Linked DNA regions of Astyanax mexicanus. The protein of the gene in region 4 purifies or fractionates together with the protein of the main gene of each other region. This does not show direct contact. Links are inferred from orthologs where the notes say so. Each region holds a gene or a part of one and is shown on either strand. Other genes may lie near its edges. The genes, in order: rpap1, gpn1, polr2j and polr2m.

What was found.
Region 1: the proteins of polr2m (region 4) and rpap1 purify together in Homo sapiens (affinity purification with mass spectrometry; 3 studies listed by BioGRID and IntAct, counting the BioPlex papers as one, with this or other methods). This does not show direct contact. The link is inferred for Astyanax mexicanus from reciprocal best matches to the Homo sapiens genes POLR2M and RPAP1.
Region 2: the proteins of polr2m (region 4) and gpn1 purify together in Homo sapiens (affinity purification with mass spectrometry; 3 studies listed by BioGRID and IntAct, counting the BioPlex papers as one, with this or other methods). This does not show direct contact. The link is inferred for Astyanax mexicanus from reciprocal best matches to the Homo sapiens genes POLR2M and GPN1.
Region 3: the proteins of polr2m (region 4) and polr2j purify together in Homo sapiens (affinity purification with mass spectrometry; 3 studies listed by BioGRID and IntAct, counting the BioPlex papers as one, with this or other methods). This does not show direct contact. The link is inferred for Astyanax mexicanus from reciprocal best matches to the Homo sapiens genes POLR2M and POLR2J.

The regions. Positions count from the first base shown.
Region 1 is NC_064421.1:48,617,918-48,626,491, reverse strand, and holds the start of rpap1 (RNA polymerase II-associated protein 1), read right to left. Parts: upstream 3,154-8,574; 5' UTR 3,045-3,153; intron 1,791-3,044; 5' UTR 1,768-1,790; coding exon 1,581-1,767; intron 658-1,580; coding exon 491-657; intron 407-490; coding exon 314-406; intron 1-313. Other genes in the region: si:dkey-13p1.4 (transmembrane protein 151B), read left to right, coding at 4,278-4,382, 7,198-8,574. UniProt on the Homo sapiens protein: Forms an interface between the RNA polymerase II enzyme and chaperone/scaffolding protein, suggesting that it is required to connect RNA polymerase II to regulators of protein complex formation.
Region 2 is NC_064421.1:731,178-738,735, reverse strand, and holds the start of gpn1 (GPN-loop GTPase 1), read right to left. Parts: upstream 3,613-7,558; 5' UTR 3,579-3,612; coding exon 3,402-3,578; intron 2,152-3,401; coding exon 2,058-2,151; intron 1,057-2,057; coding exon 1,017-1,056; intron 1-1,016. UniProt on the Homo sapiens protein: Small GTPase required for proper nuclear import of RNA polymerase II (RNAPII). May act at an RNAP assembly step prior to nuclear import.
Region 3 is NC_064408.1:29,548,635-29,557,174, reverse strand, and holds the start of polr2j (DNA-directed RNA polymerase II subunit RPB11-a), read right to left. Parts: upstream 3,223-8,540; 5' UTR 3,148-3,222; coding exon 3,095-3,147; intron 1,760-3,094; coding exon 1,670-1,759; intron 355-1,669; coding exon 180-354; intron 1-179. UniProt on the Homo sapiens protein: Core component of RNA polymerase II (Pol II), a DNA-dependent RNA polymerase which synthesizes mRNA precursors and many functional non-coding RNAs using the four ribonucleoside triphosphates as substrates.
Region 4 is NC_064430.1:31,677,562-31,685,130, reverse strand, and holds the start of polr2m (protein GRINL1A), read left to right. Parts: upstream 1-4,189; 5' UTR 4,190-4,397; coding exon 4,398-4,486; intron 4,487-6,747; coding exon 6,748-7,218; intron 7,219-7,569. Other genes in the region: myzap (myocardial zonula adherens protein), read left to right, coding at 2,293-2,662.

The DNA.
Region 1 (8,574 bases), on a different chromosome or scaffold from region 4:
CGGTAAGCCAGGGCGATGGTTTTTAATGGTAAAAGAGCTAGCTAGCGCATAGCACAGTTAGCTAACGCTAATGCTGCTCCCGTCTCAGTGCTGGAGAACTAAACTGAAACTCCTGTATAACTCTGTACTTCAGTGGAGTGTCTTTACTGCTCCTTAATACCTGACTGATAGAATTCATACATAAGGAGCACCGGATTATAAGATGTGCTATCGATTTTTAGGAAAATTAAAGTATTTTAATTTTAGTGCTTTAATTTATGTGATTTTAAGGTCTTTATCTCAGTGCTCTACCCGCCGTGTGCTGACTCCTCACCTGTGTCTCTGCTGTGGATCGATGCAGGACTTTGGGGAAAGCTGTGGTTGTAAAAGTGGGGAATGATACCGGGACTGAACTTGTGTCTCTCTCCTACAGAAACACAAACACACTGTTTAACAGCACAAAACTAATGAGCCAATGAGAAACAGTCTTTTTTTCTGCTGATTAACTCACAACAATCCTGGAGAGGACGGCACTGATGTGAGTGTCATGTTTATCCAGCAGCTCCTCCGGATCTTCATCCTCGAAGCGCACTCGCTCCTTTTTAAAGCGAGATTTTTTGGGAGGAGCCGGCGCTGCTGCTGAGGCTGGAGTCAGGGCGGGAAGATCATCCGGAAGATCTGAAAAATAAAGTAGTGGAACTTACTGGTAAAATGAACCACTTTGATACCATTTACTTGTAAATTTATTTGTAAATTACAACAGTTGTTTTTTATTGTGTGTGACGCGGTAAAATATAAATTACATAAATATCGGCATTACACAGCCCCAGTTCTAGACTAGAGCTAATGATACTGGCTAAAATTGATGTATGAAGTAAAGAAATAACATTTTTACTGTGTCTTCAAACTTATATGTAAAGCAAAATAATTTAAGAGTATATTTTGCTTATGCAAATTTATAAAGATTATCTAATTGTGATTAATTTCAACTAAATTAGAATTATACTGATAGAACAACTCCGTTATGTAAAGAAAAAAGTATCTAGACATATATAGGCATATATAGAGAATATAATATTTATAATAAAAAGGGGAAATATAAAGTGAGAATACAAATAGGTAGTAAATTAGTAAATTAAAATATAAAGAAAACACTTGACATCACCCTAGGAGTGATGAGGGGAAAGAGAGAGCGCCATCTACTGTACTATACCCACCCAGAGAGAACAAGAACAACTGTGCTCTCTCAGGGCTCCGGCAGCTGAAGGCAAGCTGCATGAACAGGATTCGAACCATCAATCTCCTGCTCAGAAGAAGTTTAATAGTCCTCTACTTTGTGTCAACTGACATCTCTTATATTGGAGCCATGGTTTAATTAGCAGATTTAACCTGATGGAGGTGTTTGTTTTTTTTTTTACAGATTTTCTGTCAATTACAGAGATATTCCCTAATATTTTTGCTCAGAATTAAGGAATCTAAAAACACGATTGTGACTGACAACAATAATTATATTCCTTTCTTATTATCTTAATGCCAAGAGTGGTGATTCATCATTTTTATCAGGGGGGTTGTTTGATACAGAACTGAGAGGAGGAGCTCACCTGTAATGGTCACCACATCTCTCTGGTTCTCCTGAGGTTCTCCTCCGTCTCCATCCGCTTCATCCCCTCGCCGTTTTTCGGGTCTCCTAGCTACGTTAGCCGCAGGCCGACCCCCCGAGGACAGGAACTCCTCCTGCTCCCGCAGCAGATCCGATTCCGAGTCGGAGGGCTTGGGGCGCTGTATCATCCCCTACAGCTGGATCTGAGTCTCTGACAAACAAGCAAATAATTCAGTCATTTAACAGGAAAGAGTGAGTTTTCAGTATGAAGTTTAGGAGCAAAAGAGAAAAAAGGAGCCCAGCTGATATTTTAACTTTGAGTCAATGTTGGATTTTGTGTTTAATAAACTATAATAAACCATAGCTCACATTTAGAATGCTTAAAATTGTATGGAAGAGAAAGAATTAAACTGTAGGGAAGAGTGGGGTGATTCTAGGAAACCATAAAAGAAATTTGATGAGTGATCACAGTTTTTTATAGAGTAAGCTATTTTACTCATTCTGCAAAGAAGAGAGCCTCCTTGCCAGACAAGTAAGCACACTTAACTTAAAGTTAGAGCTGTAGAGTGTTATAAAGTCATATAGTGTGTTGAGTGTTGTAGAAAAGTGGAATTTAATAATGTAAAAAAAACTTAAATTAGTGATTTTGTTTGCATTTTTTAGCTTTCTCTAGCATTACATTTTCTGAGATCAAAATACGCTGTTTTATTCAATAATTAATAACGCAATTTACCCTAATGTATACCAATGTAACTCCAAATGTACAACTTACCCCGGGGGCAAGAAAAGCCACCAAAATACTTTTTTTAGAAAGCTGTATTTCTTAAATACCCTATTTCTGATCCAACGTGATTGTTCCCAGGGATGCATAACATTCTAATATACATGCATATTTATTTTATTTTTATAGCATTTCTGTCAAGGCCTTGCTTTAAACTCCCTTTAAGTAAAGACAGGCACGACTCACCCCACTCTCCCCTATGCCCTGAAATGCAAAATATATTTATCTGTCTGAATCTACATCTCTGAGAAGTAGGAACTGAACAGTTACAAACTAAAAGCTTTAATTACTACTATTTTAGGTAGCTAAAAGTAGAAAATCCTATGTTTAACAGTGTTAATAATAAACTTAATCACTGTAGTAAATCTGAGTATAAAGAAACCAATCTGATTCAACATCTGATCTGAAAAACACAGTAAAACAGTAAAACTAATAGAACATGAGCATTCCCCCAGATATGGAGAATAACTGGTGATAAAATAAAAAACAGTTACTGCAAATAGAAGTAAAAACACTTTTTCACCCATCCATCCAACCGATTTTAGAAATTATATGTTGATTCAACGTTAATTTTTTTTAACGGTAACGTTAGTGTTTCAGCTGTGAGAGCTTGTCGGGTTATTGTACAAAAACTCAGGACGAGTCTCTCTCACAGCTGATTAAACATATAAAACACTATATTACCTCTTTTTTAGTGCAAAAACAGCGACTTTAGCTCCTCTTCAGTTCAGACAGGACTGCAGAACACTGCACACACATGCTACAGTTTACATCCGAACAACTTCCGGCTTCTGCATTTCAAAATAAAAGACCTACGTTATACATCTCTAAATGTGTTTAAGGAAACAAAATCACCCATTTCATTGTTTTTAATGTGTATTCTGCATTGTAGATTAAACCTATCAGAAATAAATGATGTTCCAGTGATGGAAAAAATATGTGAATGCTGTTTTTCTATCTGTAATGCACACAAAAAAGACACTGCTATACTAATATAAAATCAATACTGGTTTAAGTTGAATTATTGTTTTAAGCTTTTAAATAATTGGGCTGAACAGTCATTAATACAAAGGATATATATATATATATATATATATATATATATATATATATATATATATATATATATATATATATAAATATATATATATATATATATATATATATATATATATATATATATATATATATATATATATATATATATATATATATCTGATTTATCCCATTTTCCCATTTATCCCATTTATCCACCTATCATATATATATATATATATATATTTGTGTTTAGTGTTACACAAAAAAAGTACATAAACAGTTCAAATATACATGCACAATTCAATAAGGTTAATTACACGTTAATTTGCAATTGTAATTGACTATTTGGATATCTGTGTAGATATGTGTTGAAGCTATATGATTTATGTATTTATCTCTGAATTATTATCTTAATCAGTAATATCTGTTAAGTAGTTACTTCTCTCTCTCCTTCTCTCTCTTTCCCTCTCTCTCTCTCTCTCCTCTCTCTCTCTCTCTTTTTTCTTTCTCTCTTTTTCTCTATCTGTATCTCTCTCTGTCTCTCTCCATCCTTCCCTCTCTCTCTCTCTCTCTCTCTCTCTCTCTCTCTCTCTCTCTCTCCTCTCTCTCTCTCTTTTTTCTTTCTCTCTTTTTCTCTATCTGTATCTCTCTCTGTCTCTCTCCATCCTTCCCTCTCTCTCTCTCTCTCTCTCTCTCTCTCTCTCTCTCTCTCTCTCTCTCTCTCTCTCTCTCTCTCTGATGGGAATCCTCCGCAGTCTGTTCTCAGTCTGAGCGGGGTTTCCCTCCCGGTCCCTGAGGCAGGAGGCGGGAGCGGAGCGGCGGGCGGGTGATGGAGCTGATGCGGGGGTCTGAGTGAGATGTCTGAGCTGCGGATTCAGGATGTTGTCTCCAGATGTGGAAAGTGATACGACTGCGGAGGAAACGGCGCCCAGCAGCCCGAACAGCGGCGCGGACACCCCGGCCAGCCTGGATGCGCTGGAGGAGGTGAGACACATCCAGCATCTTCCAGCATCAGCATCCTCCAGCATCAGCACCAGGGTGCAGGGGAGACTGTAGACAGCCTGGGGGGCTTTTTACTATGATAAGGGGGATGATTAGTCCACTGTACTACTCTACTAAACCTCACATTTATTTTTCAGTAGTAAAGGTAATTATAGGTATATTATAACTATCCGTGCTTTATATGTAGCACTAAATACTATTAAATCTAGTCACTTTCTGACAATTCTGAACCCTTTCCTATCATATGTTCAACATTACAGCGAGTCCTGACTCCAGACCCCTCTGTTCTCTATGATAGATAACTTTAAAGCGAGCAGCTTATTGATTGTCATTGATGCTGAAGCCTATTTTAGTCCTTTGCAGCACTCTGTGTCACACAACCTCATAATGTAGACCTTCAGGAAGCTGCCAGTGAATAAAGGCTATAACCTATAATAAGCTGGCTATAAGATTTATGCTAAGATTTCAACAAAATCAATCAACCAAAAAAAAATAAACTGATTTTTTTCCAGGTTAGTTATGTTCCTGCACCCCTCCACAAAACTTGCTGATAAATTTATTTATTTATTTATCATAATATTATGGGTCTCTTTAAAGGGTTACCAAATCCCCTAATTTTAGCTGACTCCACCCTCAGCTCAAATGAGAAAAATGCTAAAAAAAAGAAAAAAAACAAAAGAAAAGGGGAAGAGTAGTTTCGGAGGAGCACTGGGTGATGTATGGGTTTAGGGGCGGGGCAGGAAGAAGAGCTGATTGGGATGAACAGTGCAGCTCTGATAGTGATGTACCACCCTTAAATGCTTTGTGTACTACAGATGGTACATATACTACAGTTTTAAAACAACTTTTCTAAAGGATTCGCTTACTTTTTCAAATTCAACATATACTGTTAGGCTGTGGAGTAAAAACAAGAGATTAGCTGCTAAATCTTAATTGCTGCCCCAGAATTGTAACAATTGTAACATGTTCTCCTCCACCAGTCTTACACACTGCTTTTGGATAACTTTATGCCTCTTTACTCCTGGTGCAAAAATTCAAGCAGTTCAGTTTGGTGGTTTGATGGTTTGTGATCATCCATCTTCCTCTTGATTATATTCCAGAGGTTTTCAATTTGGTAAAATCAAAGAAAATCATCATTTTTAAGTGCTCTTTTATTTTTTTTTCCAGAACTGCATATTTAGTCATTTCTAAGTGAGGCAAAAAGAGGAAGAATAGAAGCTTCCACTCTGAAATATTAGACTTTACACAGGGGATATATGCAGTGCGCAGTGAATATGTGCCTTGCTGACTTTTAGAGACATTAAAGCATTCTGTTTCATGTGGCATCTCCATTATTGATGCCTCACCGCCTGTCCTGCTCCCTTAAAAGCCTGTTTACCCTTATTAATATCAAAAGCGCTGTTATCTGCTGGCTAAGCTCACAGTAACCTCTGTTCTCTACTGTTGGACCTGACAAAAAGACATTACGTTGGGGTCAATTGGGGTGCAACAAACTGGAAATTGTATTCTAAATTGTAATGTCTGATATCTTCAGAATAAATATAATCTAAATGGATTAATAGAAAGATTCTGCTCCTTTAGATTACAAAAAAAGAGTCATAAAATTTGATTTACAAATGTTCAAATCTAAACAGTAGTCTGATACCAATTATTTTTAAGTGGTTAACTTCAGAGTGGCACAACTATCTAAGCGTTGGCCCAATTGACTTGATTGACAATTGATTGATAATTGACATACAGTAAAATAATTTGCAGTTAGCATGTCCATCACTTCAGTACCACTTTAAAATAAGGTTTATTATTTAAAATAAAGTTTATTAATGTTATTAATTAGGTTGGAAATACTTTATAAACCATTAATAAGCAGTTACAACACATCTATAGAAATACAACAGTGGTCTAATAGTGATTCTACATTTATACTGTTGAATCCTACTTTGTCTGTCAAAGTAATCAGACAACTAAATTAATCATTATGCAATAATCATAATGTGGTGTATATTACCATACAATAACAATAAATATCTAAATTGACTTTCTATATTATTTTATTAGATATGTTAATGCTGGATGGAAAAATACAAACAAAATATAACACGTTTTATGCATTAAAACTATTATTTAATGATTGATAAAGTATCCCTCATACATTATTTCTAAATCCTTTATAATGGTGCCTTGTTTTAAAGTGGTACCTCACTTGTACCACCGGGCAAGGCAGGCAACTTCTTGGGACCTTTTAACAGTGACTGCACTCACTCCCATTGCAAGTGACTTGCATCAAAAGTAAAACGACTAGTAGTCTTTTTGGGATAGTGTATCTTCTTCGACTTTAAACCTAGAGATGTTGCATATAAACACACAAGTATTTGCGTTGATTAAATATACTGTAACTATTTAGGTATGAATGTAAGTAATTAAGCTTAAAATTAGAGATGTGCTTAGAGCCAGTGCTTATTGCTGTGTTTTTTTAACTGTTTAACTTTTAACTGTTTGGTCATGCCTCATCAGGTCTTATCATTAAGTGGTGGAGGATATAAAAAAAGACCTCAGTCAAGGACAAAAGGCATACGTCCAGGGACTCACTGTAGGATCAATGGGCTGATGGGACCCTGAAGGGTCTCTTAACTAAAGCCATGAGGTTTATCTTTTTAGGCAATTGATTCTGTGCTTGTCTTGCAGCTCTTTGCAATTCAGAACACTTGAATCTGGGTGAGTATCTTAAAGATCTTCTGTATCCTCTCTCTCTATCTCTTTCTCTTCTTTCTTTCTTTTTTCTCTTTCTCTGTCTCCACAGCAAATGCCAGTGCAGCAGTCCCTGAGTGCATCCATGTGCCGCGAGATGCACTGGCGCTGTCTCCTCCTGTCTCTGCTGATGTACAGCTGTCTGGGTGCCGTGGCCTGGTGTCAGTTCACTCGCGTCACCAAGCTGAGTTTTGACTCCTCCAGCACCTCTTCCCTGACCTCCATCAACTCGCTCCGAGACGGAGGAGGACGCTCCATGATCTACCACGACAGCCCCTGCTCAGACGGGTACGTCTACATCCCCCTGGCCTTCCTGCTGATGCTCTACGCGGTCTACCTGATGGAGTGCTGGCACTGCCGCGCCCGCAGCGAGCTTCAGTACAAAGCCAACGTGGACAGCGTCTACGAAAGAGTCCTGCGCATGCGGCAGGCTCGACCGTGCGTCTGGTGGAAAGCCATCAGCTACCATTTCGTGCGGAGGACGCGGCAGGTCACGCGGTACCGCAATGGGGACGCCTACACCACGACACAGGTCTACCACGAGCGAGTCAACACCCACGTGGCGGAAGGAGAGTTTGATTACAGTCGCTGTGGGATGAAGGATGTCTCAAGGGACTTGCGTGGCTTGGAGAGCCACACGGCGACGAGGCTACGCTTTAGCAAGTGCTTTAGCTTTGCGGGAGCAGGACCTGAGAACGCGTACCTCAACCAAAGGGCCAGGTTCTTCTCAGAGATTGAAGGTCTGGATGACTACATGGAAGCACGGGAAGGGATGCAGCTAAAGAACGTGGACTTTAAAGAGCATCTCATCACCTATGTGGATCCTGACAGGTTACCCTGGTATACCTCGCAGTTTTCTTTCTGGTTGACTGCTCTCCTCATGCTTTCCTGGCCTCTTCGTGTTTTAATAGAGTACCGCACGGCTTTTGTGCACTACCAGGTGGAGAAACTCTTCGGACTGGAGTACACCAACAGCAGTCCTTCTCCAGAGGACGCTGCTCCCGCGAGAAACGGTCGGTGTGGCATCCCGAGAGGAGACACGGTGGACAGCACAGAGCTGGAATGGCACATTCGTTCAAACCGCCAGCTCATCCCCAGCTACTCGGAAGCGATGCTGATGAATTTGGGGAACTCTGGAACAGGTCAAGGCGACAATTCGTCTTCCAGCTGCTTCTTGCTGGACGATTACCTGACCCAGAACTATGGAACCATGGTACAAGACTGTGAGCACTGCTGCCAGCTTGAAGGAGGACGTCGAGCCACCATCAGCTCCAGCTGTTCCTCCATCTTTTCTCGCCACACCTTCCACTCGCGGGTGTCCCTGGACACCTCCCGGTTTTCCCTCTGTCGAATGTACGGCTCCAGGCACACCGTGGGGCTGTGGAGGAGCCGGAGCAGTACGCTGACTGAGCGCTGCTGCCCGGATGAA
Region 2 (7,558 bases), on a different chromosome or scaffold from region 4:
TATATCTACTAGAGACAGATTATATCTGTACAGTATCATTTATTTTACTTTAATCCTGGATATATGGAGATATTTGGAGTGCATTATTATTATTATTATTATTATTATTAGTATCGTGATATTCTGCATCATTGACCTCTTTTACAAATCTGATTAAATTCTTGTACTTTTTAATGTCTCAGTTAGGGGTGTGACATAAATCGTATGCAATAAATAAATACAATTTTTATTTTGTTGCAGTAGTGTATTCTTGAAAAAAAAAAATCATTAATTTATATCGCCAAGTGTACCGTTATCGCAATGACCATGAAATATCGTGATATTATTTTAGGGCCATATCGCCCACCCCTAGTCTCAGCTGCCTCTTCCACAAGGTGTACTGATTTAAACACACATTAACAACTAGGCAACACATTTTATATCCATTATGTTGACTAATTATTGACATAATTGCCATTCAAACATAGGAATTTTCTCACTACAGGACAAAAGGAGTAAAATGTTTTATTATAGACACATTATTTTTCACATTATAGACTTTACCCAGTAATTCAGAGCTAAGAAACAAATGGTTAGAATTAGTCTATGGAGGAAAAACACCACCAGCCAAGTAAAATAGAGATAGGTAGGTGTTTAGATGTTTAAAGCAGTTGGATTTTTACTCTCTGGAGCTGGACTATCCACCTCTGTGAGTAACTATAGGTTTAAATAGGATCTCCGGTGGATTTGGTGTTTTACAGAGACTCTAAGACTAGGTCAGTGTCTGAACTGCACTAAGCAGGGCATTATTACACATGTTGTAAAGTAACATATGACATTGCAAAGACTGTTATTAGTGTAAAAATGTCTTAATTTTAAAACGTCTCGTCTCTAAAATCTTCCGAAACAACTTAAACAAAATAACGAGTAAATTAGTTTTAAGTATTAATCTATTTGCAAATATAACACATCTACATATAACATAAGAGCTCATCAGTCACGTCACAGTGAGTCGGTATGAGAGCAGTAAAGGATACTGTTTCATCACTTCTTTATAGTTGACCGTGTCTCTGATATCTGCAGATAAAACACAAAACAGTATTAATTATTAAATCTCTTTATATTTAAATTTAACACTTAAAACATTTAAAACAGACTGGAGATGCTGATGAAACTGAACACTGACTGGGGGCGGAGCTTCCAGGAGGAATCTGGAACCGAGCTTTATGGGATCTGAAGTTTTTACACTAAATGTAAACTTACTGCTCGTACAAAGCACTAGAGTACTAAAGCACTTAGAAGGGGTGATATTATACAGCTCTGTAAAAAATGAAGATTCCACTTCAGTTTCTGAATGAGTTTATCTGATTTTGCTATTTATAGGTTTATGTTTGAGTAAAATGAACATTGTTGTTTTATTCTATAAACTACAGACAACATTTCTCCCAAATTACAAATAAAAATATTCTCATTTAGAGCATTTATTTACAGAAAATGAGAAATGACTGAAATAACAAAAAAGATGCAGAACTTTCAGACCTCAAATAATGCAAAGAAAACAAGTTCATATTCACAAAGTTTTAAGAGTTCAGAAATAATCAATATTTGGTGGAATAATCCTGGTTGGTTTTTAATCACAGTTTGTTTCATGCATCTTGGCATCATGTTCTCCTCCACCAGTCTTACACACTGCTTTTGGATAACTTTATGCTGCTTTACTCCTGGTGCAAAAATTCAAGCAGTTCAGTTTGGTGGTTTGATGGTTTGTGATCATCCATCTTCCTCTTGATTATATTCCAGAGGTTTTCAATTTGGTAAAATCAAAGAAACTCATCATTTTTAAAGGGCTCTCTTTTTTTACAGGGCTGTATACTAATGTATTGCAACATTTTGTTTTGTAATACTGTATCAATTTTCAAAAACAATAGTATTGATTAGTTTAGTATTAGCTTAGATGTAAAGATTGGTGTCAGAAGTGGTTCAATAAGTTTTGCGTATAAGCTCCGCCCACTAGATAGCAGTGTTATATTCTTTCATTAGATCCAACTGTTCTGATTGGATAAAAATTTTACTTTTACCGATGTTGGCTGGAAACGGGACTTCGTGGACGGCAGGGTCGAGGTTAATAACGTACGGAGGAGAATTCTTAGAGTGGAGAAAAGCAGTGAGACGCTGTAAAATAAAAACAGAAGATAAAGAAATTATTAATATTATTATTATTATTATTATTATTATATTATATATTATACCATGCATAGGCCTGTCAAAATAATTATTGCTGTGTGGACAATATATTAATAAATATATACATAAATAATTGCGATAAACAATATTATTGTCATTTTACATCCATTTTATGCCACTAATATAATGCTATTTTAATTCTGATGAGTATTCAGACATTCAGACTGACATTAAACATTTTTTTTTATATAAGCCCCTCATAAAAAAGTCATAAATAAAATGAAATCACAGTTTTGTAAGTTTTTAAGACTTTCTGGCAATTCACATGAATGTGCTTTTCTCAATCAGATTTTTTTTTTTGTTACACTATTATAATTTTCTACAATTTTCTTGGTAAATGTACTGTTTCCAAAATAAACAAAAGTTTACAGATTTATTTTATTTCTACTAAATGAAAAAAAAACGGTAATATTTATATGAACTAAAAATATTTGTATTTATTTTGTTGCACTTATTATTGCAATTATTATTATTTTTTAAATCAAAGTTTTGTCAAATCACCAAGAATATTATTATGATAAAAAAAACTGAAATAACGTGACAATATTTAAGCGCCACCTCTATTCTGTAAATAAAATATTAAAATAAAAAGTTCATAATATTTATAATAAGACAATATATATTTTTTTATTGTTTTAACAGGCCTTGAACTAAACTCCAATATAAAACCAATACCTATCCAAAACCTCTGTTTATAAAATATCTATATTTATAGTTTTATTTAAATCTGGAAAAGTCTGCAATGACTATTTTATACTTTAAATTAGAACTTAATAAAGTAAAAAACTTGTGTGATATGTGATTTCACATATTTTGATCCAGTGTTTAAATGTTAAATAAAGTAAATAAAGAAGATAATAATAATATTAAAACACATTAATATAAAAACAGATAACATTCGGGTGTTTACATAGTTCTGAACATGTATTTAATGATTAATGTGTGTGTAATAATTAAGCTGAAGTAAATGTACAGCACTCTGTGTAAAGTTTAGAGAAGCTAAAACTGATCTATATTTTCTATTTTTGATTATTTTTAAAGCTAAACTTGGATTCTTTTCGAATTGTCCGTTCCACCTTAAATAGAGCAGTAGCAATAGAAAAACACCTTCAGGCGCCAGAATGGAACTATGGAACATTTAAGGTGGACCGGAGGAGATAGCCCTCGTGTATCTGTACCTGTACAAACGTGGTTTTCCCGGATCCAGCCATTCCCAGAACGATGAGACAGACGGGCTTCTCCCGCGGGCCGCTCTCCCCGCCCGCCCCGGCCTCCTGCTCCCCCGCGGCGGGTCTATCCTGCGGGTTTTCTCCCGGAGCTCCGTCCCCGGTAATAGAACCACCGGCAGCCGCCATGCTGTACACTACCGCAGCGCCGCGGACCACGTGACTACAGCTTTCCGCTCAGTACCGCTACTGTCCGCTAGATGGAGACAAAACCACACTTTATAAACCCGCCATAGTAAATAAATAGTAAAGTGATCAATCAGATTATAAAGAAATACATAAATAATTCATTTAGTAACTTAAAAACAGTGTTAAACAAACCTAAAACTCTTTTAACTTGTGGTTTCTGGGGCTGGTAACTTTGATAAACTTATCCTGTACATCAGAGGAAACTCTCGCTCTTCCTTGTTTTCCTGATGAGAGCCAGTTTCATCATTAATAACGTTTTGATGGTCTTTTTTGTGGTATCTGCACTTGAGGATACTTTCAAAGTTCTTGAAATTCTTCTTTTTTTAATTGACTGAACTTCATTTCCAATTTCTTAAAGTTTTTTTTCTTTACGTAGTTGAGTAGTTGTTTCTTCTCATAATCTGGATTCGAACATTACTCAAATATTCACTATTCACTGTATACCTGTAACTCTACCTCTTCACTACTTTACTTTAACTGATGCTCTCAAACACTTTATTAAGAGACAAGAAATTCAAGTAATTAACTCTTGATGAGTTCAGCACAGCTGTTAACTAAAAGACTGAATTCCAGGAGACTCTACCTCATAAAACTGACTGAGAAAATCCAGCAGAAATGTTCAAAACTCATCATCTAAACAAGAGGAGATACTTTATATATGTATATATATATATATATATACAATGTATATACAATTTAAACAAAATAAAAGCCTTTAAATAAAATCTTACTTTTAATGCATTATTTGGATAAAATATATAGGAAAAGAATTGGAAAAAGTTCTCGACAAAATATTTACAGACAAATTATGATCAGACTGTACCTGAGGTGGGAAAATGTATTTACGGAAAGGCTTAACTAATAAACTAAAAATCAGACAAAAATCAGTATTTGTAATAAAATGATTAAATGTGACCACAGGCAGGCGCTGCTGCATCAAAAGTGAATAGAAAAAATAAAAACAAAGTTAAAAACGGTGTGGCTGAATAACGTGTTATTTTTACAATAAGCAGGAACTCATTTTCAGTGATGAGTCCAGCTGCGGATACTGGAACTGCTTGATAGCTGCTGTGAAGCTGGAGACGATGAAACCGAAACTTTATGTGAAGCTCTGCTGCTCTTTATACAGCATGAATATCAGTTTAGGAGCGTAAACTGTTAAAAGCACTGTCTGATATAGATCACATTAAAACAATGACACAATAGCATATACAGACACTTTTACCTGCATGTATTTTTATACCTCTGCATAAGTTTTGCTATGGAATTCATGCACTCTAGTTTTTTAGTTCTAATTTTAGAATATTTGCAGGTAACTGACGTTATTTTAAGATGTTATTTTATACATTCTTTCTGATTCTCAGCTTCGTCATATTAATAAATAAGAACTCTGAATGTGTAACAGCAGTAGATGGGTCTGTGTAAAAGCCTCTGAGAGGAAGTGAGGCGAGAGGGAAAGCCGGGGTAATTCCAGTGTTTAGAATAGTCCACATAATTCTGGTAAATCAGCTCTGAGTGATGATGTTTCCTCAGCAGGTCCAGCTGCTTCCGTACAGGAGCTCCCAGAGCTTTGGTTCCCAGAACCAAACCTCGCCAACATCTACTGAACACTAATATACAGTCATTAAAGCAGCCGTCCTTTAGAGTTTTTTAGGTGTGCAAGGCTTGTTTTGATGCTAATTGCTATCTTACCCCCCACCAACAGTCTATTTTCATTTGAATATCAGCAGAGCTTCTGAATATATCTACACTGATGGGCGTGGTGTTCTGGAAATGAGGTGTGTTCAGGTACATTTCTGGAGTTTTATCTTGTTTATCTTGGTAACAGAAAACACAGGAGCTCCACTGACTGAATACAACCTAGACAGACGCCAACAGTCAGACGTTCATCGCTATCTCGGTAACACAGGCACTGTGCCGAGCCGAGCGTACGCCCCCACTTATTACACACACATGAACACACAGCAGCACAAACCCAACTTTTACATCAACAATAAACAGAATAGTAAATAAAATAACATTGCTGTTCCCGTAAATGAGCTGCTGGAGCTCCTTCACAGCGTCAACCAGCAGCTCAGTTTCCTCTGCTGAGAAGAGTTTGTTGAACACGTCCAGGTAGCTGCACCGTTACAATAGCAATCCACCAAAGACAGAGCTCACCTGACTCTACTCTTAAAGAGAATGATGAGCAAACAGATAACACTCTGATTGGTTTATTTATTTCACGTTACGCCCAAGGTGTACTTTTCCCGTTGTTACGATAGCAAAGACACACTTGACTGCTTGCATAAACATTGCTAACAAAGAGCCCATTGAGTATTTTTGGGGAGAGGGTCAGCAACATGCTAATTGGTTGTTATTGGCTTGTTTCTAATAAAGTGGCCAGTGAAAATACAGCATTGGAAAACACATAATTAAGTCTATAGACTTTCTTGGGAAAGTATCAAATGATTTAGACAGAAGTTAGCACTATGCTAATTGGTTGTTATTGACTTGTTAGCTGCATTAGCTTCGTAGCTAAATAAAAAACAAAAATCACATCCCGTTTAAAACTGATTTAATTTAACTTTAGAGAGAAAGCTGAACTCATTTCCAGCAGTGTGGGGTTTTAATATCTCCTGCATGTTTTTTATGTGTTTCTGTTTATAGAAGCGCAGCGTCTGCAGAACGTTCTCCAGGATGATGAGTGTTTTACAGGGAGGACGTTCTGCACCGGGGTCACTGTCCCTCATACAGATACTGCAGATAGGGAAGGAAAAGGATGAGCCCGGAGTGGAAAAACAGATTTCACATAACCCCTGTTATCTGCTGTACACTCCCCGGCCACTTTATCAGAAACCCCTCCCTCCCTGCTGTACAGTTACAGGACTACAGTGTGTGTTAGCTGTTCTTTATTCTTTACTCAGAGATCAGTTACTTTACATTATTATATTCATGTTTATTCACTGTATAATTATTTATTCACCACTGTGCACTATTTACCATCTACTATACACATTATACTCATTACCTATTAGGATTTATTCAGTATCCACTATGAATTGCTCAGTAACCACTATTAATTACTCAATACTTACTATGAATTACTCATAATCCACTTGGAATTACTCAGTACCCACTATGAATTACTTTGTATCCACCATTAACTATTCAGTGGGCACTATGAAGTCTCAGTATCCATTATGAATCACTCAGTATCCACAACAAATTAGCCAGTACAAACTATGAATTACTCCGTATCTAGTATGAATTACTCAGTACCCACTATGAATTACTCAGTACCCACTATGAATTACTTTGTATCCACCATTAACTATTCAGTGGGCACTATAAAGTCTCAGTATCCATTATGAATCACTCAGTATCCACTACAAATTAGCCAGTACAAACTATGAATTACTCAGTATCTAGTATGAATTACTCAGTACCCACTATGAATTACTCAGTACCCACTATGAATTACTTTGTATCGACCATTAACTATTCAGTGGGCACTATGAAGTCTCAGTATCCATTATGAATCACTCAGTATCCACTACAAATTAGCCAGTACAAACTATGAATTACTCAGTATCTACTATGAATTACTCAGTACCCACTATGAATTACTCAGTATCTACTATGAATTACTCAGTATCCACTTTAAATGACTCAGTATACACTATGAATTATTAGTGCCCACTATTAATTAGTCAGTATAAACTTTGAATTACTCAGTACTCACTATAAATTAGTCAGTATCCAAAAGCAATAACTCAGTATCCACTCTGAACTATCTACTACATACTATGAACTATTCAGTAACCACAGTTTAATATGTACTGTAAATTACCCAGCATCCACTATGAATTGTTCAGCACCCACTGTAAATTATTCAGTATGTACTGTGAGTTATTATTTATCATCCACTAGGAATAGTT
Region 3 (8,540 bases), on a different chromosome or scaffold from region 4:
TGTGGACTTCATATCATCCAGCAACAGTAGAGCCAATAATTAGAACTGGCTGTTCTTTGCAATCATCATACCAAATGAACACCTGTGAACATTATTTGATTCTGTCAAACAGTATAAATATTTTTAGGTTTAAGACTCTGATACAGATGCAGATACTTATTCACCAGTGGTAAACTTACCCTAAACCTTTCTTCCAACAGTGACAACTCACTGATGAGGTCAGTGATAGCATTTGTGAAAGCTTCCTGAGGACTGTAATCTGGTGTTGTCTGCACACGGATCACAATCTTGTGCTCCAGTGGATGGGGCACTTTATACCCAGCAAACAGCACCTGAGGGTCCTTCAGTAGCTGTCTGTTAAACAGAAGGAAAACAGAAATATAATGCATTAAAAAAAAAAAAAAAAACAGAACAGAAACAAAATTGGTAATTAGGACATCTAGACACAGTGTGTATACACTAGGGTTGCAACGGTATGAGATTTTCACGGTATGATAACCGTCTCAGAAAATACCGCGGTATCACGGTTATCACGGTATCACAGTTTGTTACATATATTATTAAACTGACCCTTAAAGAAATTACAATAAAGGTTTTTGTTCAATTAACTATTTATTGTAGAAACCTGGAACAACTATATAGATAATGTCTCCTTAAAAAAAATAAACTGTACACCATTAGGTAAAGGAAACCAGGTTTTTCCACTACTCTTAAGGTCATTAAGGGTGTATATAATTATATATATATATATATATATATACACACACACACACACACACACACACAAACACAGGTGTCACACATTACATGTCCTCTAAGAAGTAAAGATCCTGTGTTTAAACTATTCAGTACAATTATTTAAGTTTAAATTATTTAATATCTGATAAACTGAGCCTGGGTCAGTGTCTGATCAACAACTGTTGTAAACGTCCGTTTTACTGCCAAGTTGGTATATAACCAGATAGAGGGGATTTATTTCTGAGTCTGGTTTTAACACATGAAAAACAGGCACGTCAGAATTTGAAAATTAACGCATGTAAATGAATGGCGTCTTTCACATCCAGTCCGGCGAGCACCTTTACACGGACACGTGAATCCGTCGTAGCACGCACTTCACGCCTGTACCTGCGTGCCCAAATTTCGGATAACTCAGCGCTTTTGCGGGCGCTTACCGCATGGGTTGTGCACGACTACAAAGAGATTTTATTTATGTTCAGATTAAAATTATAAACTAAACACATACTTTGCGCTGCACGGCGGGGTGGTGTTCTTGGAGATGGGAGAACAGGTTTGACGTATGTCCACCTTTAGCTGTGACTTTACGGCCACATTGATTATAAATCGGAAAACCATCCTCGGGTGCGTTCGGCGGGTCTCTGAAATAGTCCCACACTGCTGATTTTAGTTTAGCCTTTTTTTAGGCGGATGGAGATTTGTTTAGTCTGATGCACTTTCTGCCGTTCTCACCGCTGTGTGCTGAGCAGCTGAAGCGGAGCAGAGTTGCGCATGCGCGGGTGAGTTTCTCCGCTGGCTTGCGTTTTACCGGTAATAAGCAAACACACACGGTATGATAACCGTGCATTTTAATACCATGGTATACCGTGAAACCGGTTACCGCTGCAACCCTAGTATACACACCAAATCTTTAGGACAATAAAGTGATTCTTACGATCTGATGATGTTGCCCAGTGTATGGTCTTCTTTGTTCAATGTAAACAAACAGGCATTTGGCACCTTGGTATCCTTTGTAATTGTAATCCTTTAATAAAAAAAATATTACAATACTTACAGGTCAAATCATATAAAACAACAGGAAAGATAAAATAAATATATACATGAACTAGAAACAAGTGATGTACAATTTAAAAATATATACCGTACAAGTAAAACATCTGAACACACCTCTTTTTATTAATGCGTTTTATTCCTTTTCATGACTTTCACATTGTAAATGTTAATATTAAAGACATTAAAATAAACAGGAACACATGCAAAATGATTTTGTATTTATTCACATTTAGCTTTGATGACAGATTTTGCACACACTATGTGTCTTCATGAGGTAGAGTCACCTGTAATAGTTTTCTCAGCATCTTGAAGGAGTTTCTAAGGATGCTGAACAATAGTTGCTGCTTTTCCTTCAGTTCATCCCAAACCACCCATCTCAGTTGAATCTCGCAGTAAATGTGTAAGGAGTGGAGTAATAAAGTAATGCTGCAAGCACTAAATTAGCCTACAGTTAGTGCACAATAGAAATGAGTTAACTGAAGTTTCACTACATTGTGTGTAAACTGGTTGTGAAGAAGGAGAAAATAATTGATTTATTTCCTGTGTGTGATGAATGTATGTATGTATGTATACACAGCTCTAGGAAAAAAAAATAAAGAGACCACTTAAAATGATGAGTTTCTTTGATTTTACCAAATTGAAAACCTCTGGAATATAATCAAGAGGAAGATGGATGATCACAAGCCATCAAACCAAACTGAACTGCTTGATTTTTTGCACTTTTTTTTGAGGACTGGAATAAAGTTATCCAAAAGCAGACTGTTGGAGGGGAACATGCCATTATGCATAAAAACTGTAATTAAAAACCAGGCTTATTGCACCATATATTCGTTTCTGAACTCTTTAACACTTAATAATATGGACGTGTTTACTTTGCATTATTTGAGTTTTAAGAGCTCGGAAACGTTTTTTGTTATTTCAGCCATTTCTCATTGTCTGCAATAAATACTGTAAATGACAATATTTTAATTTGGAATTTGGAAGAAATGGTGGCCGTAGTTTATAGAAAAAAACAACAATGTTGATTTTACTCATATAACTTACTTATTAATATTAAAAATTGAGAAACTTAGGGGAAAAACAGGAAACATATCAGACTAAGTTCATTTACACCACAAAAATGGGGGCAATTCAGTTAAACTCAAAGATGTTTCACAAAATACCCTTTTCCCCAGATGCTAACCTAGCTATCTGGCTCTTCAGCTAACTATAACCTAGATAGGGAAAGTAAGGCCCGGTAACGTGGTAAGTAGCATTAGCTAAAGAGGATAGGCAGTCTTACACTACACAGGTCTCATAAACTTACTTTTTCTCCCCCTCAAACAACAGAAACGACTCGAAGGCCGGCGGAGCGTTCATCTTCCCTGTGAGTGAGAGCTAAGTGCTAATCTCTTAGCCGCGCTTTGGGTTCACACATCCTGCGCAACGTGATATGGGTAACGCCCTTCAAAATAAAAGGTTATATAGAATAAATATAGCATTAAACAAATAATTTCACTGAAGTGAACAAAGAACATACTTCTAATACATATTAATGTTATTTATTCATGTATTTATTATTACATGTATTGTATATTTTTATCATCACTGGAACAAAATTCAGGTCTAAAATGGTTAGACCTGCAGAGGACAGTGAAGCTTTTTTTTATTAGTCAATCGATTAAAATGAAAAATCCAATTAATCACAATAGAATTCTGCAATTAATCATGATAAATCACAATTTTTCTTCCTTAAGACTAAGCTTTTGATAATAGGTATTTAAATATGAATACAAAATCAGTGTCAGAAACACTTATTGGTGCCAATACCTTTATAATAATTGTATTAATTATTAATTAACTGGATTTTAGGGAAGGGGACAGTAATAATAATTATGTTGGTGGTGGAGTACACTTTACTGTATTATAATATATGCGGGTAGTTTTGGTGTTTTTAAAACTAGAATATTGTAAATTTCTGTAAAGTTCTATTGTAAGCTTTATTTTATGTTTAAACTTAATAAAACATAAAATAAAAAATCTACACAGATTTCTCTCCTGAAAACTGTTTACTGCGGCGCAGTAAACTCCCAGACCAATCACGGAATGGCATACTACTATACTGCGTACTGCATACTGCACTAGTATGTACTGCATACTACACACTGCCCAGTATGTAGTATTCGGTAATGTAACACTTTTGATTGTAGTACCCTACGCGGTCCTGCTGTGACACACCAGTCAGTGCTCTGTAGTGCTCTGAATTCCTCAGAGTGAGTTACAGAAACAACATGAAAAATGTCCTACCTTTTCATTATTAAAACTAATGAGATCTGCATACTGTCCAGAACAGCAATTGCTGCTTTTACTTTAGAGTTTAATGTAAGTGCAGTTAACCCAATTCTAACAACCATTTAGCAGCAGCCCCCACAACCCAAGTATGTTCCAGTTAAATATGTTTTCCTATTTATTTTAGTAAATTGCTATTTTCATCTATGTAAATACCAACAAGAAGAACACATTTAAACAAACTCTCATTCATATTTACACAATCTCAACAATAAAAGAAATGAGACATGTTGCACAAGTGAAACAATTTTATTAATTTGTATTCAAATCATTCCCTTATTTCAAAGAAAAATATGTATTAAAACTGAGGGAATTATTTATTAAATCAACAGAACGATTTATTAAGAAGGGAATTATTTATTAAATTAACAGAACGATTTATTGGAATTATTTATTTAAGTAACAAATGTATTAAACCTGAGGGAATTATTTATTAAAGTAACAAAATAATTTATTAAAACTGAGGGAATTATTTATTAAAGTAACAAAATATTAAAACTGAGGGAGTTATTTATTAAAAGAACAGAACAATCTATTGGAATTATTTATTAAATAAAGAGAACGATTTATTAAAACTAAGGTAATTATTTATTAAAGTAACAGAATAATTTATTTAAACTGAGGGAAACATTTATTAAAATAACAGAATAATTTATTAAAACTGAGGCAATTATTTATTAAAATAACAGAATAATTTATTAAAACTGAGGCAATTATTTATTAAAATAACAGAATAATTTATTAAAACTGAGGGAATTACATCAAGGCAGCACACAGCGGAGGGTCCCGGCCGCGGAAAGCGCTCGGCCGCGGCAGCGGAAGGTCCCGGCCGCGGAGAACGCGCGGCCACGGCAGCGGAGGGTCCCCGACGCCGAGAACGCGCGGCCGCGTCAGCGGAGGGTCCCGGATATAAGTGTGAAAGATATAATCAGATATGTTCAAAGTTTATTTTTGCCAAATACCAAGAGAATTAAACAAAGTTCCTGGGAGTAGTTTGACAACATACGAAAAAATGTGTGTAAAATGCAGATATTTTAAAATGGCCGACATCCTATTGGGTGGAGTCAGTCCTACCAATACTAAAAACGTATGTAATGCAGCCTCTTGTGTTTTTGCCAAGATTCATGAATTTTCAAGCATCTGTGTTCTGACCGTGTCATTGTTTCACTTTGGTTTATTGTTGCGTCTCTAGTAGATCATTTGCCCAACATTTTGTTACTGTTTCTCCGATCAATAATCCTTTTGGAATTTTTAATCAATTTAAATGAGTTCGTGAAAATTTGTAAAAATATTACAAATTCCAATATGGTCGACTTCCTGTTGGGCGGAGCTATTACAAGCAAATGGGAAATATGTGCAGGATCATAGGATCTATGTTCCTCTTAAAATTTGAAAAAAAAAAATGAAAAAATTAGAAAATTTTTGACACATCCACAGCATAAATTAGCTTTACTTTAAAAAAAGCTTTTACTTTTTCAAATTGAACCAATTAGGGGGCGCTGTAAAGTCCGCTAGCTACACATGAAAAAATTATCCATTAAAAATTAAGTCCCAGCACGCAACTGTATTACCCAGCAACACTAGTTTTAGTTGTCAAACCTCTGAAATCCACTGATTTTTCTATTCACCTCCTATAAAACATGCTGTCTGTTATGGTTCATGCTTTAAATTTGTTTTTTTGTATTTATAGCACCCTCTGCTGACCACTTTTATAATACTTGTTATTTGGATGTTTATTTGGATGTTAATTTTATCATTGGTTGTTGAGTCACATGGTTTTTGGTCACATGCTTAGAACGACCATTTTCTTTCAAACTAGTAAGAGAGGCGCATGTGTTAAGTCCTCTTGTGTATCCAGCTTCATCTTCCTGTGTAACCCTCTAAAGAAGCTTTGTTTGTAAGTAGATTTGTTCATTTAGGCTATTACTACGGTGGCTGAGAAAGCCCAACGCAGTGCAAATTGAAAAGCGCTGCAAAAGCACAAAACACATCCATCAAAATTACAACACAGGCGCAGCAAATAGAAAAACGCGCTGCAAAAAGAAAAACGCGCTGCAAATAGAAAAACGCGCTGCAAATAGAACCACAACACAACGGAAGTGAGTCACAACACAACGGAATTTTCCCGGGGGACCTTAAAAGATGCTGTACCAGCTAAGCTGCGTCTTCAGTAACGTCTCGGACTTCACTATGTGTACAAAGGACAATACGTGGCAAACAAGGCGTTTTGTGAAGCAGAACTTTTAATAATATGCACACAACCGTGGTAATCACAGGTAATAAACATTACTTACTTTTCAGAAGCTTGTTTGCCACTTAAGTTACTGTCCTTTGTATACAGCTGGTACAGCATCTTTTAAGGTCCCCCGGGAAAATTCCGTTGTGTTGTGACTCACTTCCGTTGTGTTGTGGTTCTATTTGCAGCGCGTTTTTCTATTTGCAGCGCGTTTTTCTTTTTGCAGCGCGTTTTTCTATTTGCTGCGCCTGTGTTGTAATTTTGATGGATGTGTTTTGTGCTTTTGCAGCGCTTTTCAATTTGCACTGCGTTGGGCTTTCTCGGCCACCGTATATTACTTACTATTTGTGCTTATTATTTAATTGGAACTGAAGGTATTCTTTGTGTATTTCATTTCAGTTTCACACTTTCTGTATGGAAGTACTCAGCTTCATTAAACGGACAAGATTACTTCATGCTCCTTCATCACTGAAGTTTGGTGCTTTATTCAAGTTTGCTCGAGTGTTTAGCTATCTGGTGATGTGTGCCTTGCTACGCACTCAGGTGCCAGAATACTGTCAGTGGCTGAAAGAAATATATTTTTCTTTATAATGTTACTTTAATTAAAGAGTTATGTGTCCTGAATCAGAATATAATAATAAAGTCCCAGCGCAAAACTGTATTACCCAGCAACACTAGTTTAAGTTCAGTCAAACCTCTGAAATCGACTGATTTCTACTATTCACCTCATATAAAACATGCTGTCAGTGGCTGAAAGAAATATATTTTTCTTTATAATGTTACTTTTATTAAAGAGTTATGTGTCCTGTGTCAGAATATATTGATTAAAGTGCCAGCGCAAAACTGTATTACCCAGCAACACTAGTTTTAGTTCAGTCAAACCTCTGAAATCTACAGATTTTTACTGTTCGCCTATAGTATAAAACATGCTGTCAGTGGCTTAAAGAAATATATTTTTCTTTATAATGTTACTTTTATTATAGAGTTATGTATACTGAATCAGAATATAATAATAAAGTCCCAGCTCAAAAATGTATTACCCAGCAACACTAATTTTAGTACAGTCAAACCTCTAAAATCGACTGATTTCTACTATTCGCCCCATATAAAACTTTAGGTTACTTGCGTAACCCCGGTTCTCTGATAGCATGAGTGAGGTGTCTCACTATGGGATACGCCCCTTCCGCGTATGCCTCAGAAGCTCTATTCCACTACGCCAGCCAATGAGGCTGGCTGACAGCTGTGATGCTCGTGCTCCCACCCCCCGTAGATAATACGGCGTCACCTCCTCATTCAAAAAACAGGCACATCTCTTCCTCGCTTCACACTGCAAGGAGGGTGGTCTGGTGAAACACCTCACTCATGCTATCAGAGAACCGGGGTTACGCAAGTAACCTAAAGTTCTCTTTCAAGCATTCATTTCGGTGTCTCACTATGGGATATCCTAACTCCCGTATTGTCAGACAAGCCTGCCTGAACACACTGTCAACCAGCTAACACTCAGGAGACTGAGTGTTCCCTGAGCCGGCGCTCAGCACCGCATGTGCTATAGTAGGTGCTGTTATGTCCAGTTTATTAAATCTGGTGAACGTATGAGGCGAGGACCAGCTCGCCGCTGCACACACCTCCTGAATAGAAAGGCCACTAAAGACCGCCCATGAGGTCGCTATGCCTCTTGTGGAGTGTGCCCGGATGCCAGGCGGGACTGTTTGCCCCTTACTGGTGTATGCCAAAGCGATCGCTTCTGAAATCCAGTGCAATAGTCTTTGTTTAGTAAAAGCTCTCCCTGTGTACGGCTTAGCCCAAGACACGAAAAGCTGATCACTCTTCCTAAAGCTTTTAGATTTATCCACATAGATACGCAGCGCTCCCACAGGACATTTAACCGCTGCTGGTTATGTGAGGTAAAAGGCGGTGGATAAAATGCCTGCAGCTCCAAAGGGAGACAAGGCTGAATGACTTTGGGAATAAAAGCAGGGTTTGGACACAAACATATCTTTGTATCCCCCTGTGAAAACTGCATACATGAGGAGTGCACAGAAAATGCATGTAGCTGAGGCCAAGGCTAACAAGAGTGCTGTCTTAAAAGACAGGATCTTAAAGTCTACCTGGTCCAGAGGTTCAAAAAGTGCTGCCGACAAGGCTTCAAGCACCAATGACAAGTCCCAAGATGGAGACAAGGGTTTGG
Region 4 (7,569 bases):
TTTTAACATGTGGCCTCAATATAATATATTTTGCCCTTAATATATAATTTTCTAGCCTCAATATATTATCTAGTAGCTTTAATGTATTGTTTTGTATGTTTGATATATTATCTAGTGGCCCCAATATTTTATCATATCTCTTCAACATATTTTATTGTGACCTCAATATATTGTCTTGTGGCCTCCAAATATTATTCTGTCCTCAATATATTATCTTGTTCCTTAAACTAAACTATCATGTGGTCTTAATAGGACCAACAAACAGTTCTAATACATACAAATAATTAAATAAGTAATTAAATGAATAAAAACCTAAGCATATAAAAAAGATAAAAGAAACAACCACTCACAAAAGATTAATCAGACGTTTTAGATCAGTTATTTAGTCAATATATTATATTGAGGCCACATGTTAAAATATTAAGATCAAAACGTGTTATATACACGGTCCAAATTCTATGTACAGTTGTATTCAAAATTGTTCCATCCTCACTGCAATAAAGTGTTTTTTACTTTGGTCACAATCAAATAAAGACTTGAATAATAGACAAATATACTTCTAATATACCAATTAATAATTCTAATAATTCTAATATACGAATAAATGTACTTTTTGTGATTTCCTCATTGACAAAATTATTTAACCTCTTAAAGATGACCACTTTTTTGAGAACAGAAGTTTCAATCAGGCATTGAAAGGTAGGTGATTAGAATCAGCACTTTTCGAGCAGCACTTAAACAGATTTAAAATGACTTTAAAAGAAGATACTCAGCTCCATCTAGACAGTTAATGGTGTCATTGCATCAGGAAGTCCAGGGAATGGTCAAATAAATCTAGAGAATTGCTCATCATAAGCAAGGATATGGATATAAAAAGGGAGCAAAGACATTAAACACACGAAGAGACACAATTATAAGCATATTTTGCAAGTTTAACTGCTCTCTGGTACCTGAAACGAAATGTGGAGAAAAACCCCTGGCTGACAGCTGAGAAACTGCGACAGGACATCAGAGGAAGGTACTCAGGTTTTGGCCTAGACCGTAAGGCACACACTACGAGAGGAAGGCCCCCGTGCCAGAACTGCTTGTTTGTAGAAGAAGGGCTGGGGGATTCTGGAGTGACCATTGCAATCGCCCAACTAAAATCCTTTAGAAAACCTCTGCCCAAGAATGTCAAAGGAACTGGAGGCCTTTCCTCGTGAGGAATGGGCTAGGATACCTGTAGATCACTGCAAAAAACTTGTGTCAAACTATGTTTCACATCTGAAGGACGTTATTACCGCCAAAAGAGAGTTATACTAAGTACTAATGTTGAATCTGACTAAAGGAGCTGAATAATTTTGACAATAAGTCACAAAAAGGACATTTGTTGGAATATTAGAAAAAAATACTGTTGTAATTTAAGTTGCATTTGTCTATTATATAAGTATATTTGATATATTTGATCTGATTGTGAACAAGATAAAAAATAAATGTTAAACTTGCTAAAACACTACTGCAGTGGGGGTTGAATATTTTTTAACACAACTGTAGCTTTAACATTAAACAGAGTTTAGTATTTTTAATATTTAATTTTTTGTGTATATATATATATATATATATATATATATATAAAAGTTAAAAAGTTGTCAAAAGTTTGGACAGATGATCAGTAATAATTATTCCTTATTTCTATTATTTACAAATTGTAGCTTAATGCAGACATGCAGTTGTGCAGTCGACAAACAAACACCTGATTTAAAAACACAACACAGGTGCTTTGGAATAGCTTTAACATAAAACAGAGCGTCCAACAGTTTCTCATTCTTTCAACCCCTTCAGCTAGTTAATACTAAATTGTTAACCTTCAAAACTTGTCTTGGAGAGCATCATAAACACATGCATAGCAGTCAACAATCTCTCATCAAGAGGTACACTATCCAAAAGTAGCCTTTTATAGGGCAGTGTAAGAAGCACTTTAATGCAATTTAATCTTGTGGCAAGACTTAGTATATAATCAGATTACAGCTACAGCCATTTACATATCAGATATAATTATTATAATACGGGGTAAAATATTTTCTATCAGTGTATTTTCTAATAAATACATTAAATATTTTAAATTGTGTTCCATTGCTTACACAGTCATTTTTACATTAGAATAGAATTCTCTGGAGCAGAAAGACAAACATGAATCTATTTAACCATACATTTGTGGGTGGAGCATGAATATGTTAATACATTAAATTATATAATCACACAGCTTTACAAAAAGCTTCACAAGCACTTCTAATTTCTTTCTGCTTTTCCCAGCCGGCCTGACGCTCAGGCCTCTGAGACTCCGGTCCAGTCCAGGCCCGCCCCGTCAGCGCCGAGACCCCCGAGCAGACTGGACTACAGTTTACTGCGATACACACCGCTACAGTACAGCAGCATGCTCACGGGGCCATACACTCGGGACACTGCTACTAGTCCTACAGAAAACACCACACATTCAGATTCAGCCCGGCCCAGTGATGAGGGAGTGACCTTATTATCATCATCATCATCCTCCTCCTCATCCTCCCCAGAGTCAGAACTGTCCTCCTCCTCCAGCAAGAGCCGGGCCACATCCAACCCATCCAAGATCTACACGCCGTTTATGAGGCTAATGGAGATCACAGCTAAACTGAATGTAGAATAAGCTAAAGTGAAGTGAAGGGTGCAGTGCCCTGAATCAGACAGTAAATATGTATTTGTATATATTTTTCCTTTTCATTTTGTAACATAAATTAAATTATATCCTGATCTGTGAATAACTTTTATAAATTTTATTTTAGTAGCATGTGTGGATGCACTTTTTCTTTTTTGTTATTTTGTTTACAAATATGTATATTTGGCTTTATGGTATGGAATTTGGAAAGTCTGTATTACTCTGTATTTTACAGTTTTATACGTTTATTTTCAGTTTCCTAATGTTCTGGTTACAGCTTTGAATTACTTTCTTACACAAATAAATAATAAATAATATCTTGTAGTATAATGTAGTAGTATTCATATTATAACAGGCTCCCTGTAAGTCAGAGGTGTGGGGTGTAATACAGCGCTGTGATGGTCAGTAATTGGCTGGATTATTAGAAGTGTGCCAATGGCATCAGATCATTTTCACTGCCAGAAAGAAGCAAGAGACGAGGACCAAATCCCTCCACATTGCCACTGTGTGTGTTTATAAGGGTACAACTTTAATAAAGAGATTATCTGCACAAAGTGTGAGAGCTTCTGACCTTCTGTTGCTGGAAACAAGAGCAGGAATCTTCATCAATAGATCACATAAAGAACCACTGCAGCGCCGTCTGGAGGACAGAAGCTGGTAACGGAACATCAGAAACCTAACTTTATAGTAGGAAGGGATACCCAATAAACTAAATATATGTTATGTTCTACATATTGATACACAGTACAAGTCTTTAATCATAGTTTGGACACACACTCATTAATATTTATTTTTTATTTGTATTATTTTCTAGATTGTAGATTAATATTAAAAGAATGCATATGCAATTATGAAGCAAACAAAAACAAAGTGTTAAACAAGCCAATTATGTTTTATGCTTTAGATTCTTCAATATTTGTAAGAAATTTGAAGAAGCTAAGTTTTGATTGCTTCACTATAAAATATACGTGTAGAAAATAAAGAAAACACATTAAATGTAAAAGGGAGTGTCTAAACTTTTGCCTTTTTGTTTGGTTTGAGTTTGAGTTATTGATGTATATTTATAGATGTAAATAATTTAACCAAAACCTTTTTCTCGAACAATTTCCATATATAAAAATGCTTCACTATTACGAAAGCAAGTGTGTAAGTTGTAGGACACAGCAGACATAGCAGTTTATATTTAATTTTATTTAACTTTAATAATTCTTTAGGAAAAGATTTTAAGTGTGTTTTATTTATTATCAGAGAAAGTAGGAGTGAGCGTGTAGTTTGGCGAGAGACTTTTATTTTAATATACACTTTTAAGAAAACAGTAGGGTTTTTTGTTTTAGTTTTATTACTACTAGCAAAACTAATATTACATAAATTATTGGTACATTATACCACTATCATTACTTTTATTTAATATATATATACGTGTGTGTGTGTGTATGTTTTATTTATTCTCTCGGAGAGAGCAGGAGAGAGAGTGTAGTTTAGTTTGGGACTTTTATTTTGAATTAGCAGTGGCACGCTTCACTGTCAGGTAGTGGCGGTGGTGCTGTGAGCGGGTTAGCTGTGAGGCTCTGAGCTGATTCACTGTAGAGTTTAATATTAGAGTTTATTATAGAGTTTTTCTGTATTTATTAGATTAATTCGGGTGAATTCAGCGCTCTGCAATGATTCTTACCGCCGCTGGAGGTTTCAGGCTGAGTCCGCCGCAGTGAGGCGAGGTGAGGTGGAGATGTCCGGCCTGGCGGGAGAGCTGAGCGGCCGCAGCAGAGAGGAGCTGCAGGAGATCCTCAGCAGACAGGAGAAGATCCTCCTCAACAAGTCAGAACTCTGTATTATATTTATACACAGAACCAGTCAACACTTTACACACCTTATATTCAGTGCTTTTATTTTTATTATTTTCCTTCATTGTAAATGAATAATGAAGTAATCAAGACTAGGAAGGAACACATAACATGTAGTAACTTAAAAGTTTTTAAACAAACCAAAATACTCTGTGAAGCTCTTATCTGGGGAGCTGTTAACTTGTGGTTTATGAGGCTGGTAAATCTGATTACCTTATCCTGTACAACAGAGGGAACTCTTGATCTTCCTTTCCTGGGGTGGTCCTGATGAGAGCCAGTTAAATCATAACGTTTTTGATGGTCTTTTCGACTGCACTTGACGATACTTTCAAAGTTCTTGAAAAGAAAGTATTTTTTTCTTTACTTAGTTGAGTAGTTCTTGCCATAATATGGATTAGAACTTTACGTAAATAAGGCTATTCACCGTATAATAACTCTACTTCTACATAACTTTACAACTGATTAATATTGAAGACTTGAAAACAATTAAGGGAGTTATGTAGTAAACAGTAAATAAGTGTTTTTCCTCAACATTAATCCCCTGATCTAAATCTGATGAACTGAGATGATGATTTGAGGTGATTTAATTGGGATGAGCTGGAGCTTCACAGCGTGAAGAAAAAGCAGCAGCTATTGTTCAGCACCTCCAGAAACTCCTTCAAGACTCATTCAAAACTATTCCTGAAATTAAAATACCAAGAGTGAGCAGATCTGTCCTTTAAGTTAAATGTGGCACTTAGAAGAATCTAAAGTATAAATCAGATTCTGTTTTGTTCACCACTTTTTATTTACAGAATAATTCAGCATGTGTTCCTGTATATCTTCATTGTATGTCTTCCATTCTAAAATTACAATGTAAAAATCATAAAAGAAAATAAGAAGAGGTGTGTCCAAACTTTTGACTGGTGCTGTATATCCCCTCTGACTGCTGGAGTTTGTTATTTAGTGAAGCTCTTATCAAGCTCAAGCTGTAGTATCTTTTACAGCTGATAATAAGTAATAATCCGGCAGGTGATTTTAATCGTGATGATGTCAAGTCACAAAATAAAATATAAGCAAAGCATATAAATTGGGATGTGAGCTCTATGGGAGCTCTATGGGGCCTGTCAATTGATTCAATAATTATGGATAACTAACGATTCGTTTAATATTCTGTTAATCTTTTAATCATTTGAAATATTTTGGTTTATTGATTATTAATTGGATAAAAGGAAACATATATTAATATAAATGTAACATATTTTCCAGATATTGTTCCGATATTAAAAAATTTAGAGATCTAATGTTGTAATTTTAAAAGTAACACACAGCCTACCATTATTAAAAATGTTAGTTTACATGAAGAATTAACCTGAGATTAACTTTAATCTCATTAATATTGTTATTTAATAATACAATAGTGTATGTAATGTGAATATACACTCAGCTGTGACACTTTAACGCAATGTCAGGTCAAAAAGACCTTTAAAAAAGGGTTTAAATTTCTTATGAAAATTTACTATATAACTGCTGCTGCATTGAAGGTGGAAAGGAAAACTTGCTAAACGTATGTAAGAAAGGGTCACAAATTACACCATTTCCCACTGTGGGAAATAGCTGACTCACCTGGCTGCTCTTCACAAACACATTTTTCACAAGAACTTTCAACATGATTACATAATGAACATGTAGTTCATTATTATTTTTAATTTTTTCAGCTCTTAGCTCCATTCAGCTCCAGTTATATAGCACTCACTCGCGGGCTCCATCTAGAGTTTAACATTCTTTTACTGATATAAAAGTGGGGGCAGTATGAGGTCAGACTCTTTATAAACAGCTCTGGTAAAGCAGGGAATGCGTTTTGGACCCGTGGTTCTCTCTTTCTCTGTAATTCCATTGGTAGTATGTGGCCGCTGCTTCTGAATCCCAGTCACCGACTGGGTCAGATATCTGACGTGCCAAATATTTGGCAGGCATCGCCTCAGCGAGCATCTTTCAGCAGTTTATACTACACAACTGTGTGAGCACCGAGAGATCCCTGATTTGCCTCTGAGCAGAGTTTTTGCGATCAACAAAAAACTGTCTGCGACTGAAAAACTGGGCTAAAATCATGTAGTGTAAACCTGACCTAAGGTTAACGTATTCGCTAAACATAAGTGTGATATAAATTAAATTTTAATAAAAAACGCGTTCATATTTTGAGATTTTACACTGTTTTTATCAAATGAACTAATAGTGTTTGTGTGGTTTCTACAGGAGGTTCGTTCAGACCCTTCCGGATAAGGGGAAGAAGATTACAGACTTTGTGGAGAAGGTGCGGCAGGCGCTGGAAGCTCTGGAAGAGGAGGAGGAGAAGCAGGCCAGTCTATCCGCTATTGGAACAGAATTTCAGGTCCGGTATCAGCAGGCTTTAGCTCAGCGCAGGAATGCTGAGCGAGAAACTGTTAAAGAGGAGGAAAACTTGCTGGAAACCGGCAGAACGAATCAGCCAAACACAGAGGGCGTCATGGAGGCGTCCACACCTGCTGGCGGTGCAGAAGATCTGGTGGAGGCGCTTGGACGGGTCAATCTGTCTGAGGAAAAGAATCGTCCTCTGAGAGACACTGTTATTAACTCTCCACCTAGAAACGTCTTCAGTGCCACACAGTCTCAGAAGAAACCACATTATATAGAAGTGTTGGACAGAGCGGATGCAGATAAGCAAAAACACAGATTTAAACCTAATCAGTGAGTAAAGACCCTCTCTCTCTCTCACTTTTACAGTTTAGCTTTTAGCTAGATACTGTTTCATCAGTGATCACAATCTCCAAAACAGTAACTTTAAAAGTTTAATGCATTTTTTTTTTACTATAATAATAAAAAAAAATGTTGCACCATTAAAGGCAATTGGTGTTTTCAAATACAGTACCAATCAAACGTTTGGACACAGTTTAAATTCAGTGACTTATTTTATTTTAACATTTTCTGCATTGTAGATTAAAAATGTTTAGACTAAAAATGTTTAAAAAAATGAAAAAAAAAAAAAAAACATATGGAATTATTTAGGAAACAAAAAAGTCTTAAACAAACTGGAATAAG